Caenorhabditis elegans: one gene and its partner. The protein of the gene in region 2 purifies or fractionates together with the protein of the main gene of each other region. This does not show direct contact. Each region holds a gene or a part of one and is shown on either strand. Other genes may lie near its edges.

Region 1 (6,121 bases), on a different chromosome or scaffold from region 2:
TTATCAGAGTTTTCAGTAAGGATAAAAAAAAATATTTAAAAAAAAATTTTTTTCAAAAAATAAATAATCGATTTGTTTTCGCAAATTCATAATAACTGATATTGATTTTTTTCAGAAATAAACTTCAATCTTTGCAGAAATCAATAAATAATCGATGTTTTTTTATTAGAAATCGAATTTCTCAGTAATAAAAAAAAATAAAAAAATTAACTTTCAGATTTTTAATATTTTTTTTAAAAATATAATTTGATTTTATTTGCTCCAGACAACCTTTTCCTTGAAAAATTCTTGAAAAAGAAAATGAGGGGTTTTGAAAATTTTTTGAAATTTTTTGAAATTTTGAAAAAAAAAATTTCAAAAAAAATTTTTTTCAAATAATTTTTTTCCAAAAAACTTATTTTTCAAAATTTTTGAAAATTTCCGGCAAATCGACAATTTGCCGGAATTGAAAATTTCCGGCAAATCAGCAAATTGCCGGAATTGAAAATTTCCGGCAAATCGGCAAATTGCCGGAATTGAAAATTTCCTCTAAAATCGGCAAACCGGCGATTTGCCGGAATTGAAAATTTCCGGAAAATCGGCAAACTGGCGGAATTGAAAAATTCTGGCAAATATGCAAATGGGCAAATTGCCGGAATTGAAAATTTCCTCTAAAATCGGCAAACCGGCGATTTGCCGGAATTGAAAATTTCCGGAAAATCGGCAAACTGGCGGAATTGAAAAATTCTGGCAAATATGCAAATCGGCAAATTGCCGGAATTGAAAATTTCCTCTAAAATCGGCAAACCGGCGATTTGCCGGAATTGAAAATTTCCGGCAAATCGGCAAACTGGCGGAATTGAAAAATTCTGGCAAATATGCAAATCGGCAAATTGCCGGAATTGAAAATTTCCTCTAAAATCGGCAAACCGGCGATTTGCCGGAATTGAAAATTTCCGGCAAATCGACAATTTGCCGGAATTGAAAATTTCCGGAAAATCGGCAAACTGGCGGAATTGAAAAATTCTGGCAAATATGCAAATGGGCAAATTGCCGGAATTGAAATTTTCCTCTAAAATCGGCAAACCGGCGATTTGCCGGAATTGAAAATTTCCGGCAAATCGGCAATTTGAGCTTGTAATAGGCTTTGGATATAGTCCAGAGAGGTCAAGCTTTCCAGAAGAAATCAAGCCGATGGCAGTGGGATAGCTGAAAATTTCCAATAATTGGCCACCTTGGAACTAGGAATGTTGGCGCCAAGCTGTCCCATTACGGTTTGATCTACAAAAAATGCGGGAATTTTTCGCCCAGAAAAATGTGAATCTGCGTCTCAACTCCCGCATTTTTTACTGCAAACTCAAAATAATGGTTACCAAGGTGAAATTTATCGATAAATTTGAATTTCTACATGAAAATCAGCAACATTAATTCTTGCGCTGAGAACTCACAAAAAAGGTTTTATGGGTGAAATTTAACGAGGATTTCGAACTTTGACATAAAAATCAGCAAAAATGAATTTTAATTCAGTTTTCCTGAGGATAAAGCATAAAAACTCATTTTTTGACTTTTCAACTTCAGTTTCAAGACTTTTAACTAACAAATTCAGATTCAGCACCCCATTTTACCCCTAGGCACATGGTTTTTACAAAAAAGTGAGAAATTCTGCATTTTGTCGTAAAAACTGCGGTGTTTGCGTACTTTTGAAGCTACCGTACCCCAAAATGTTCAATATTTGCACTGCAAACTCACAAAAAGGTTTTTCTAGGGTGAAATGTCACGAAGATTTCAAATTTTTACATGAAAATCTGCAAAAATGAATTTTAATACAATTTTCCTGACGATAAAGTCATAAAAACTCATTTTTTGACATTTCAACTTTAGTTTTATGAATTTTAACTAACAAATTCAGATTCAGCACCTCATTTTACCCATAGGCATGTGATTTTTACAAAAAATTGAGAAATTCTGCATTTTGTCGTAAGCACTGCGGTGTTTGCGTTCTTTTGAAGCTACCGTACCCCAAAAAAAATGTTTTTTTTTGTTGAAAATTGGAAGGAAAATCCTCAGTTTGCGTTCCAATTCGAATTACCGCCAAGAGTTCAAGATGTTCGATGGAGCGCGCTTGCATCATTTTAGTTTATTTTTGGATCTTTTTGACGGGAAATTCAATTTCCAAAAAACCGAAAAAAAATCAGTAAAATAATGCAAGCGCGCTCCATCGAACAAATTAAATTGGCGGCAATTCAAAATTTTTCAAAAAATTGCAGAAAAGCGCTAAAAATATTTAAAAACGGTTAAAAAATAGCTCAGAGCTTGAAAAGGTTCGACCACTGCCGTGTCTTTTAAGTACGCCGTTTGTTTTTTCCGGTTCTCCAAGCCACATTGAGCTTTTCTCGGTTCGCCCTGTCACATCGAAAACATTGTCTGTGGCCAGAGAACAAGAAAAATCTGAAAAATCATTATTTAAAATCGAAAAAAAAGAAAAACAATACCGGCGAAAAATCAAGGAAAAAAGGAACTATAACAATCGATTTTTTCAACAAAAAAGAGGAATTTCCTAAAATCTAAACTCAAAAAATTGAAATTAAAAAATTAAATAAACAGAGAGAGAGAGAGAGGGGAATAATTGAATGAAGATTTGTGAGACCGAAAGCCATATGGAAGATAATTTAATGGAAGACTCCGAGAAGATCAGACTCGCGGAAGATTGAGTATTCCTTGTCCTCGACGACGACCTGAAATTGGGGAAAAATTGTTGGGATTTCCTGCGAAAATCGGTCGAAAAAATATGTTTTTGCGCAATTTTCGCGGTCTGTAAGCAAAAAATTAATTAATTTTCAGGTATTTTGTCAAAATTTTGGCCTAAAACTATATTTCACTGGAAAAAACTGACATTTTACCGCCTGAAATTCAGTTTTTTTGGCGTAAAAATCATATTTTAACCTAGTTTTTCCTTAAAAAACGAAGGAAATTTGGGATTTTTTCAAAGAAAATGCTAGATTTCCGGTGAAAATCGGCACTTTTTGTGGATTTTCAGCGAAAATAAACTGATTTTCAGGTTTTTTCCTAATAATTTAGAGCGAAAAACCCATGAAATTCAGTTTTTTGGCGTAAAAATCGTACTTTAATTCAGTTTTTCTCGAAATTCGTTCATAAAAATGAATTTTTACAGAGAAAATGCTAGATTTCCGGTGAAAATCGGCAAATTTTGTGCAATTTTCGTTGGGTTTTAGCGTAAATGTACTATATTAAAGGTATTTCCCCAATAATTTAGAGCGAAAAGCGCGTGATATTCAGTTTTTGGGGGAAAAATCGTATTTTAATACAATTTTTCCTGATTTTTCTGAAAAAATCTTGGATTTCGGCTGAAAAAACACAATTTTTGTGCAATTTTCGTTGATTTCAATGACTTTTCAGTAATATAACGCTACTTTTACACTGAAATGTTAAAAAAAATCCCGATTTTCGTCCAAATTGTGTGAAATTTCAACGGAAATTCAGATTTTCACATTAAAAATTCGCCAATTAATCCATATTTTCGCTCGAAATTCGTCGCATTTTGTACCTTGGTGCCTCCGTATTCTGGGAGAAGGACACGATCTCCTGGCTTCACAGTCAATGCGACGAGCTCTCCCTTCTCGTTGCGAAGTCCGGCTCCGGCAGAGACGACGGTGGCTTCAAGGACCTGAAATATTCGAAAATTAGGTGGAAATTGCTTTAATTTGAGTGAAAATTCGGTAATTTCGGATAAAAATTGGACAAAAACCTCCGCGAGCAGTCGGAGAGCGTGTTGGCAGGGAAAATCGATAATTGCATCATTACACCAGACTTTACGGAATTTTCGGTGAAAATTAACATTTTTCGTATAAAATTGAAGGTTTTTAGCTAGAAACTGTGTTTTAGACGCCAAGTTGCACCATTTTGACGGTGAAATTGGCATTTTTGTGCTAGAAATCTGCTCCAAGACGTTGAAATTTATCAGTTTTCACCTGAAAAATCAATTTTTAGGCCAAAAATTGCTCACTTTTCCCTGTGACTTCTCCGGGAGCATGATTCCTCCCTTTGTCTTGGTCTCGGCGGCGACTCTCTCGACGAGCACACGATCATAGAGTGGCTTGAAGGTCTTGAGGACATTGCTCTGCAAAAAAATACGCGTTTAATTCGGAGAAAACACCGGGAAAATAGCTTACCGATCGGCGGACAGCGGTGAGGAACATTTTTCGGCTGAAAAATTGGTTTTTTGAGTTTTAAAATTTATTTTTAGCGGGAAATTACATGAAAACAACGAAAAAACCCGAAGAAACCCGCGAAAATTCAGAAAATGATCAAAAAACCAAAAGAAGCTTCGAGAAAAAAAGCAGAAAATAAATGTGCGGCGCGAAAAATCTCGTGCGGCAAACTTGCAAATCTAGGCGTGTCGGGCCAATGGCAGACACCGCGCCGCAAATTCAGCCAATCAGCGCGCTCAGCTCCACCTAGAAAAGTGTGCGCACCTTGCAAAACTGGGCGGAGCGAGTGAAATGATGCAAAAGTCTATTCTGATGTAAATTAGCCATTTTACATCAAAATTTGCGTCATTTTCGTTATTTTTCTCTCATTTTTCATATTTTGAACGAAAAATTGAGGTTTTTTGCTTCTATTTTCATCAGAAACCATTGAAAAATGCTTATTTTTGGGCCATTTTTCGTCGAAATTAGGGGAAAAAACTATTCTACAGTTTTCCCAGCTATTTTCTCATTTATTCCTGTATTTTTCAGTCATTACCTGCTTCCCAGACGATAATGCAAGGCTTCTCGCTTCATTTTCATAAAAAACGATTGAAAAATGCTTATTTATAGGCCATTTATCGTCTAAATTAGGGGAAATATCTGTTTTACCGTTTTCCCAGCCGATTTCTCATCCATTCTCGTTATTTTTCACTCCTTTTCTGCTTCTCAGACGATAATGCAAGGCTTCTCGCTTCATTTTCGATGAGAAACTCTGATTTTGCTCGCATTTTCGCCTTTCCGCTGCAGATTTTCACACAATTTTCGTAGTTTTTCAGACACAAAAGATGCTTCGCCTCGCCAGAAAGGGACTTCAGACCGCCGTCGTCAGATCTTACGCCAAGGACGTCAAGTTCGGAGCCGAAGGACGACAGGCCATGCTCGTCGGAGTCAACCTGCTCGCCGACGCCGTCTCTGTCACTATGGGCCCAAAAGTACGGGGATTTTGATGTGAAAATTGAGGAAAAAATGCTGTAAAAAAATCTATTTTAACGTATTTTTATACACAAAACTTCCGGTTTAATGCAAAATTTAATTTTTTTTTCTTCATAAATACAGCCTCTAAAACTCCAAACTCTTTCAGGGAAGAAACGTGATCATCGAGCAGTCGTGGGGAAGCCCAAAGATCACAAAGGACGGAGTCACCGTCGCGAAATCCATCGACCTCAAGGACAAATACCAGAACCTGGGAGCCAAGCTCATTCAAGATGTCGCCAACAAGGCTAATGAGGAGGCTGGAGACGGAACCACCTGCGCCACAGTTCTCGCCAGAGCCATCGCCAAAGAGGGATTCGAGAGCATTCGTCAAGGCGGAAACGCTGTCGAGATCCGTCGTGGAGTCATGAACGCCGTCGAAGTCGTCGTTGCAGAGCTCAAGAAGATCTCCAAGAAGGTTAATACCGGGAAATTGTGGATTTAAATTCAAAAGCCACAGTGATTTTTGGAAAAATTGGGATTTTTGACCCAATTTTGAAGCGATTTTCATTTGATGTTAGAGGAAAAACTAGAATTTCGCTCAAATCTGCTTGAAAATCGCGAATTTGTGGCTAAAATCAGTTGCCAGGAATTCAAAATCTTCAAAAAACCGTCATTTTTTCCCAATTCGGGCCATAAAGCTTATTTGTTCGACGGAAAAACCTTCATATTCCGGAAAACTGACAAAATTTCACTGATTTGCTCTGAAAATCTTGAAAAACCGTCATTTTTCCCCTACTCAGGACGAAAAGCTTATTGTTTGACGGAAAAACCCGAATATTCCCGAAAAATTACAAATTTTCACTGATTTGTCTCGAAAAACCTTGAAAATTCAAAAAGTTCGCCAAAATGTGGTGCTTTTTGGAACAATTGGCAGCTCTGATGCAATTTTTCATTCAATG
Region 2 (7,482 bases):
AAACAATTGAAAAATATTTCGATTCAAATTCCGTGGCAACGAGAGTTCACAAGACTACAGTACCCTTCAAAGACGCGCACCAACTTGAAATTAACGAAATTGCCGTTTCGAGACCGTATCTTTGGCGGAAAAGTCATAAAAGTTCGAATCTTTGTAATTACTAACTTCGCAAGTGCTTGTCATTGGTTCAGGAGCTGTAAGACTCGAGTAACAATGTGCAACTGGACAGACACGCATCTTTTTGGTTGATTTTTTGAGGCATTTTGTGCAGAATGTGTGCAAACAGGGAATCAACTGGAAAATTTGAATCCGTATGGCTGAGAATAATGCAATAATCTCACTTGAGTTGCTTCTTCACATGGTTTTAAATCATTGCAAACTGCACACCAAATTGACATCTTTGGATAACTTGAAATATTTCGAAATAATCTTCTTTCTACATTGAAGTCGGGAACATTTTAAATTTTCGATGTAAAAAACAATATCACGTTATTTTTATTTAAACATTTTTTCTCTTTTATTAACGCTTTTTTTTCACCAACCAAGACTTGCAACATTTTTCAAGCAAACATTTATCTGGAGAAATTGTCTATTTAATAAATTACTGATTGAAATAAGCGGATTGGTAATAATAGAACTGCAAGAGTACATGAAAAATACAATAAATATTCGGCGCAAATGCGATAATTTAGAGAACAAATGGAACGATGGCCTTGCGATTTTTTGGGTAATCTGGGAACTCCTTGAGGTAGTTGCGGTGCTTTCCTTGGGCCCAGATTGCCATTTGAGCGAATCCAGCGGTGGTGAAGATGATTGCTAAATTTTAAGATTATGAATAAAATCAATTATATTTACAAGTTTTTTATTTACCTGGAAGAGATTGGACCATAATGGAGAAGAAGATCCATGATGCGACCTCATATGTGTAGTTCGGGCACGAAACGTAGTTGAAGAGGAGAGAAAGTGGATTTCCATCAGGCTTTGGAATACGACGTTCGCGGGTTCCAGCTGGACGGAGGTTGCGGAGAAGAATGTGGATCGAGAGATTTCCAAACTCCGAAATCACGAAACCGGCAAGTCCGAAATAAACCTGAAGATCTCCGAAAGCTGGTGGTGTGAAAAGTGGGTGATTGACAAAGTAGGCGACGAAGGCAGCGAATCCCCAGTAATAGGAGCAGTTCTGAAAATTCAGGAAATAGAAATTTGTTTATCGATTAGTGAATTTTATTTTTAATCTTGTCCGTTTCAAAATTCTCTACTAAAACTACCTAAAGTTGTACGAAATATTCTAACTTTGAATTTTAGGCATATTCAACGTTTTTACTAGTTTTTTTTTGTTGCTATATTTCAGATTGAAAATTGCCGTAGAGCGTAAAATAATTTTTTCATCAACGCAACTTTTGCAACTTACTATTAGTGTCCCTTATTACTTTTTACTCAATTGTTTTTATTTTTATTTTTGAAACATGCCTTGACTAAATTGAACTGTGGCATAGTCGAGTTTCCGAATCTATGGATGAATTGAGTTTCGAACAATCTCTTGGCGTAGTGGAAGCTCCATGCAAAGAAGGCGATTTGTACTGCTGGATGCATGGTAGCATTGACAGCGGCTGTAATGTAAGATATTGTGTGAAATAATATTAATCCGGCTCACCTTGTCCATAAATGAAAGTTGGTCGAAGATAGAAAAGCGGATAAACGAACAAAGGTCCAGCATACTCAGCCATGAAGACAGTCTTCCAGGCGATTTGTGGTCCGAGATCTCTTACATATAAAACTGCTTTTTGAGATGAAAGTCCAAGATCGGAGAGTTTTTGGTCATCAGCCAATGGTTTACCCTTTGGTTCGACACGGAGAGCCTGACGTTCTTCGGTGAGTTTCAGCTCTGAAATTATTTAGCTAATAAATCATAAATTTCGATTCACAAACTTTTCTGGGCAATTCGCTTCTTGATAGCTTTGATCGTTTCGGATCCAGAAATTCCCTCGAGGGTGATGATGAGATTGTCCGTACGCTTTGCGTCATAAACCTCCAGAATCCCACTCATTCTGAAAATTGAGGTTTTATATAAACTGAAAAAAAGGAATTTTCACAAAAACTGGCTCTATTCAGAAAGAAACGAATTTTTTGCAGTCCACTATTATAAAAATGGTGTGATTTTCTTTTACGGGTCGCTATCAATTGAACTGATAAAAAAAGAAGAGAAGCATTGTGAAAATGCCAATTGAAACGAACGACCTCGAAATAAAATTTACTAAATGCATTAAAAAATAGAAATTATTATATTTTCAAAGATTTTTGTCTGCCTTAAATAAGGGAAAAGCGATAATATTTAAACGTTTTTTGAAATAGCCTCATTATCAGGTGATTCTTATTCAACTGCTCGAAAAATCGCCCTTCTCCGTCAGAACTTGTTGATAGTTTAACGGCTGGCACAACATTTATGGCAGTTTGGTAACAAAACTGAAAAGTGAAGTATTGATATAATGAGCAGAGACATTGAGATTTGTAAAACATAGAAATTGGAAACTACAACCTTTATTTGAAATTTTGAAGAAATTTTATGTGAAAATATACAGTAGTAGGAGTAGGAACAACGGGATTCTTAAGAATATAACGACAAAGCAAGAAATGAAAAATTGTCTTTAGTAGGAATTGTGTGGAGATTCAGAGACGCGATTCAGGTAGTCACTGGGGAGCAGCGAGAGCAATGACACCGCAGGCAGCACGAGCTCCGGCGTTTCCAGTCTTCTTGGACTCTTCTGCCTTGTCTCCGACTCCCTCGCCTGGAAAGTTTACTAAATTGATTTTTAATTCGAATTGTTCATACCGAGGTCGTCTTGTCCGGCATGAACAACCATAGATCGGCCAACGACAGTGTTTGGACCGTAAAGCGTGACGAGCGTGTCGGTGAGCTTGATTTTTGCCACTCCATCGGCTCCAGCTTCCACATTTCCTAGATCGCCTACGTGACGGATCTCGGACTGAAAAAATATTATAATTCAAGCGATATAAAAAATTTCCATACTTTTGGTCCACCATGAGTCTTTCCAAATGGATTGAAGTGTGGACCGGCAGAAATGCATCCGTTGGTGGAATCACCATATTGGTGAACGTGGAATCCATGAAGACCGGGAGTAAGTCCCTTGATTTCTCCTTCAATAACTGCCTGGTCATTTTCGGACTTCTGAAAAAGAATACAAATGATTTAAGCGGAAAACTCGGCTAACCTGTGTGATCCAGATAGTACCGGTAACAGTTTCTCCACGAAGAACAGCGACAGCACGGTTCGACATTTTTTGAGCGGCTTCGACCTGTAAATTCAACGAATTTTCTAGGGAACACTCTAAGGAATATCACGGCAAAAAGTTTAGAATTAGAAAAAAACAGGCAGATCACAGTCGATAGATGCAAAATTAAAAAAGAAATGGTAAACACGAGAGAGAGAGAGAGAAGGTGGAGCGAGATGAAATAGACAACATTGTGTGTGTACCCGCCTCTCGGTCGCAGAATTTTGTAGCTATGTCTCTAGTTTTTGTGGGTTTCTGATGAAAATGATGATAATTAAGGTAAAGGCAACAACACAACGCCATAGATCAAATAGGCCCAAGTTGCGAATGACGAATGTTTCGGATAAGCACTGACCTGCGGAAAAATCGCGTTGGAGACCTGAGTGAGAAGATTCATAAACATCACCGATCTAAAATACTGAATCTACAACTTTGAATAATAAAGAAACAATGGAAAGTATGATTATGACACTGATTAAAAACCACAAAACAAAAACACAGAAAAAATAAGCGGCTCACAAATTCAACGTCTCCACTCTTGAAAACTCGAAATTGAACGATTATTTCAAGAAAAAGGATTTTTAATAACTAAATTTTAATTAATTTTGAGAATCGGAAGAAAACCGGGAGTGGAGAATCGTTTCTATAGAAACTACGAAAGCGTAAAGAAAATTTAGAGAAAAAAGAAAAAAACAACAGCAAAATAGTGTGCACGCATCAAACTTGACGAGCAATGCGCGTCAAATATGCTGTTCGAGAAAAACCGCGGTTATTTAAATGTGAAATTTTTGTGTTGCGAGAATAAATAGCGTCGGGTTTCTTTCATGTTGGAAATTTTCGTTTCCAGAAACAAGATATGAAGATCGTTATGCAATGAAAGTTTTTCCGTAGAAACTTTCATGTGAATCAAAACGCCGAAGGCAACAAAAAAAAACTACCTTACAGGTGCAAACACGTTGTGTTTTTTTTCTTTCTCTTCTTAAATTTGACGGGGTTGCGGAATTGAACTCAAATTGTAAACGGAAAATGTGGTTCTTTCAAAAATTAGATTTCCAAAAATTTAACAATTCCAAAATTTCAAAATTTCGAAATTCAAAAAACTTTGACCCCTTGACCCCGCCCACAACAATGAGAGGAGGGCCTCTCATTCATTATTCATCTTTGATCCTGTACTGGTGGGTGAGTTTAATTCTGCTCCAAAATTGTGGTAATTGGTTATTGCAAGAGACTTCGTAATGGAAGTCATCTTGAGAATCCCAAGATTGTCCCCCAGACGTAAGTAAGTATAAGATGTAGTTGTCTGGAGTCAAGTGGTTTACTCTCGATTAATCCAGACTGGCTAACCTGGTGCCTAACGGTTTCGAGTGATTGGGGTTGGGTGATTGGTATTCTTGTTGATACTATATTCTAAAGATATGATACGGTCGGGGTAGGTAGGAGACTGAGTAGGTAGGTAGGGTAGGGTAGGTAACGGGGTAGGTAGGTAACTGAGGGCGCACGAGTAGGGGGCTAGAGGGGTAGATATCGTTTCATATCTTAAGAGTATAGTATCAGCAAGAATATCAGTCTCTCAATACTTGATTGCTCGAAACTGGTACGACACTTGGTCAGTCCGGTTTGGTGTTCTATCATTGCCTGTCGGTAATGGTGCTAAATTAAGATTAAGATTTTGAAAAATAACAATTTTTATTTTTTTGAATTTTATTTCGAAAAATGTTCTATAAAATAAACTCACAGTTGGTTAAAATTTAAATTTTGAATAAATAATAAGCAGCATGAATCGCATAGTTATTCTACTGTACTAAAGCTGGCAATTTTTGATATCAAAACTGATAATTCTGACAATTCCTATTGACGTAGAATATCCTTTTGGTCTTTATGATGTAGACAATGGAGGTGAGAAAAGAAGGGGGCTAAAAACCCAAGAGAATGATTCAGGGGTCAACTGGCAATCGATATTCAAGGTGCTCTTTGAATAGGTCCTGGATTATTGTTGTCTCATTCTGCTTTTATTCTCTTGTGATGAATGGTGACTCTTCTTTTCCTCTTCTTCGTCTCCCACCGAAAAACCTAAAAATTGTTCTCTGCCATTTGAGATCTATTGAACAGCGAGTTTTCAATTGGAAAGTGCCTATAAATGTTTATCTTTTCAGAATATATTTTTCAATAGTCTCTGAGAAGACTAAGGATATTATCAGAGAGCTATGCATCTTCAAAAATATTGTTTTCTTCTTTGGCATGTCCGATCAGTTGGTATATGGTTTTTCTAAATGTAATCACAAGCATGGCTGTGCTCATACCAGGCGGAGAAATGTTTTGTAAAAAATCAAGAGAATGGAGTACATCAAGATATCACGGCTACTGCACCAAAGCACTGCGACTTTTTTCGAACGAGGGCCGAGAAAAATGCGAAAAAACGGTGTTTGCACACAATACACCGCATTTTACGACATTGTGCACTTCTTACTGTACCTAGCGAGAAAATGAGTCTTAACTGCTTTGAATAAAACATAATTATAATTTATTGAGAAAATTTGTGAAAAATAAGAGAAAATTAAAAAAAAAGAATCGATTGATAATTATATTGATAAAATATGGACTTTTTGGTGGATTTTGGGAAATTCGTCGTCTTTGTCCAGTTTCTATCGCCAGATTTCTGCAAAAAATCGTTTATATAACTGCGACTATGGTATTTTGAACCGGAGGGCACAAATTCAACAGAATGCTTCCCCGTATATATTATTTTACCTGAGCTAAAAATATTAAATCAGGAATTGTACAGGCTGGTTGAACTATCGTATTATTCGGAACGTTTCTTGAGAACAAATCGTGCCTTCAAAGGACGAGAAGGAGTGGATTCCATATTTTGTCCTGCTCACCAATATCATTGACAAGAAGTATCCGAGATTTCGCAAGAAGTTCGATTCGATGTTTCAACACTCGTGCAATATCGTGGCATTGGCAGACCGTCACTGGAGTTTTTTCTGAATTGACATGAAGTTTCACTTTGAAGACAGAAGCCATGGAAAACTTGGTGGCCAACTGCAATCCGGGCTTCATGCCTGGCAAAATGTCAAATCCCAGATATCCAAGAAAGTGATTCTTCAATTTCGTCAATTGTGAATGCGTCAGTTCACATTTTTTCTTCAATACCAACGTTTGAAATGAAGAAAGTTGATTGCAAAACGTCTGTTCCTTCCGTTCGCGAACAAATTTCAAGAAGCCATTTATGAATGGAGCATATCTTCCAGTTTTGTCATCTGTTGTAGAACATACAGGGCCTCAGAGAAGCGTACTCGTTTCGATTCCGAATTTTTGAGATTGCCAAAAGATCAGCGAAACATCGGAGGAAATTTTGCAATAGTCTCCTGTTTGCTCAGCTGGCTTTTCTTGTATAGAATTTCAGAGTGTTCTTTTTTCTTTTTCTCTTTTTTCCAAAGTCTTCTGAATCGTTCCACATGTTTCCGAGTCTTGAGTATCGTTGCCACGATCCGCTTTCTCTCACTTCTTATCGCATTATTCGCTTTTTTAGAGATATTGAAGTTTAGAATGGCAGCTGATATTTTTTTTTTAGTATCTTCTATCTCAAATTGTATTGAAACAATTACTTGACTCTTCGGATCATCATGTATCAGCTTCAATGTTTTTGGCAAGATAGTAACATTTTCCATTTTCAAATTTTTCGGGGAACTGCATTGACTGGTAGATGCACGCGAAGCCTGAAAAATTTTGAAAAATTTTTTTTAATATTTAGAAATTTCCAACAAAAAAATTACCTCGTTCTCTTGGGAACTGGAACAGGAAGCCTCCATATCACAACGAGCTCGAATGCTGGCGACGCCTTTACGGCTACTTTCAATCTGTGCTGCCCGCCTTTTCCTGCTGACCATCTGAAAATTTATAAATGATTTATGTTCCTGTTTTTAATGGAAAAAAAAACGAATTTTCTCGATTTTTATCGATTTTTTCATACAAAAGTTCCAAAAAAAAATTTTTGACAACTTTTTCAGAAGTCTGGTTATGAAAATAAGGTGCAATTAGCATTGACACAGCATTTTTATTATGTTTGGAAAAAAGTTTGGGTTTTTTTTTCATTTGGGATCTGATTTTATCGAATTTTCTCGATTTTTATCGATTTTTTCACACAAAAGTTCCAAAAAAAAATTTTTGACAACTTTTTCAGAAGTCTGGA

What was found. Proteins that work in one complex are often made in the same cells at the same time.
Region 1: the proteins of sod-1 (region 2) and Y22D7AL.10 fractionate together in Caenorhabditis elegans (co-fractionation; one large-scale study listed by BioGRID). This does not show direct contact.

The regions. Positions count from the first base shown.
Region 1 is NC_003281.10:1,614,727-1,620,847, forward strand, and holds Y22D7AL.10 (10 kDa heat shock protein, mitochondrial), read right to left. Parts: upstream 4,204-6,121; 5' UTR 4,197-4,203; coding exon 4,170-4,196; intron 4,118-4,169; coding exon 4,004-4,117; intron 3,665-4,003; coding exon 3,545-3,664; intron 2,715-3,544; coding exon 2,649-2,714; 3' UTR 2,425-2,648; downstream 1-2,424. Other genes in the region: hsp-60 (Chaperonin homolog Hsp-60, mitochondrial), read left to right, coding at 5,033-5,179, 5,329-5,637.
Region 2 is NC_003280.10:6,970,188-6,977,669, forward strand, and holds sod-1 (Superoxide dismutase [Cu-Zn]), read right to left. Parts: upstream 3,701-7,482; 5' UTR 3,694-3,700; coding exon 3,646-3,693; intron 3,315-3,645; coding exon 3,231-3,314; intron 3,188-3,230; coding exon 3,029-3,187; intron 2,985-3,028; coding exon 2,831-2,984; intron 2,787-2,830; coding exon 2,689-2,786; 3' UTR 2,519-2,688; downstream 1-2,518. Other genes in the region: C15F1.5 (RING-type domain-containing protein), read right to left, coding at 166-294, 342-398; putative very-long-chain enoyl-CoA reductase art-1, read right to left, coding at 689-816, 871-1,180, 1,471-1,610, 1,655-1,885, 1,930-2,047; C15F1.8 (Ribosomal protein L29), read right to left, coding at 6,623-7,009, 7,067-7,180. UniProt on the Caenorhabditis elegans protein: Protects cells against oxidative stress by converting superoxide radicals to hydrogen peroxide. Required for normal brood size. May be involved in regulating mpk-1 phosphorylation downstream of phosphatase ptp-2 during oocyte maturation.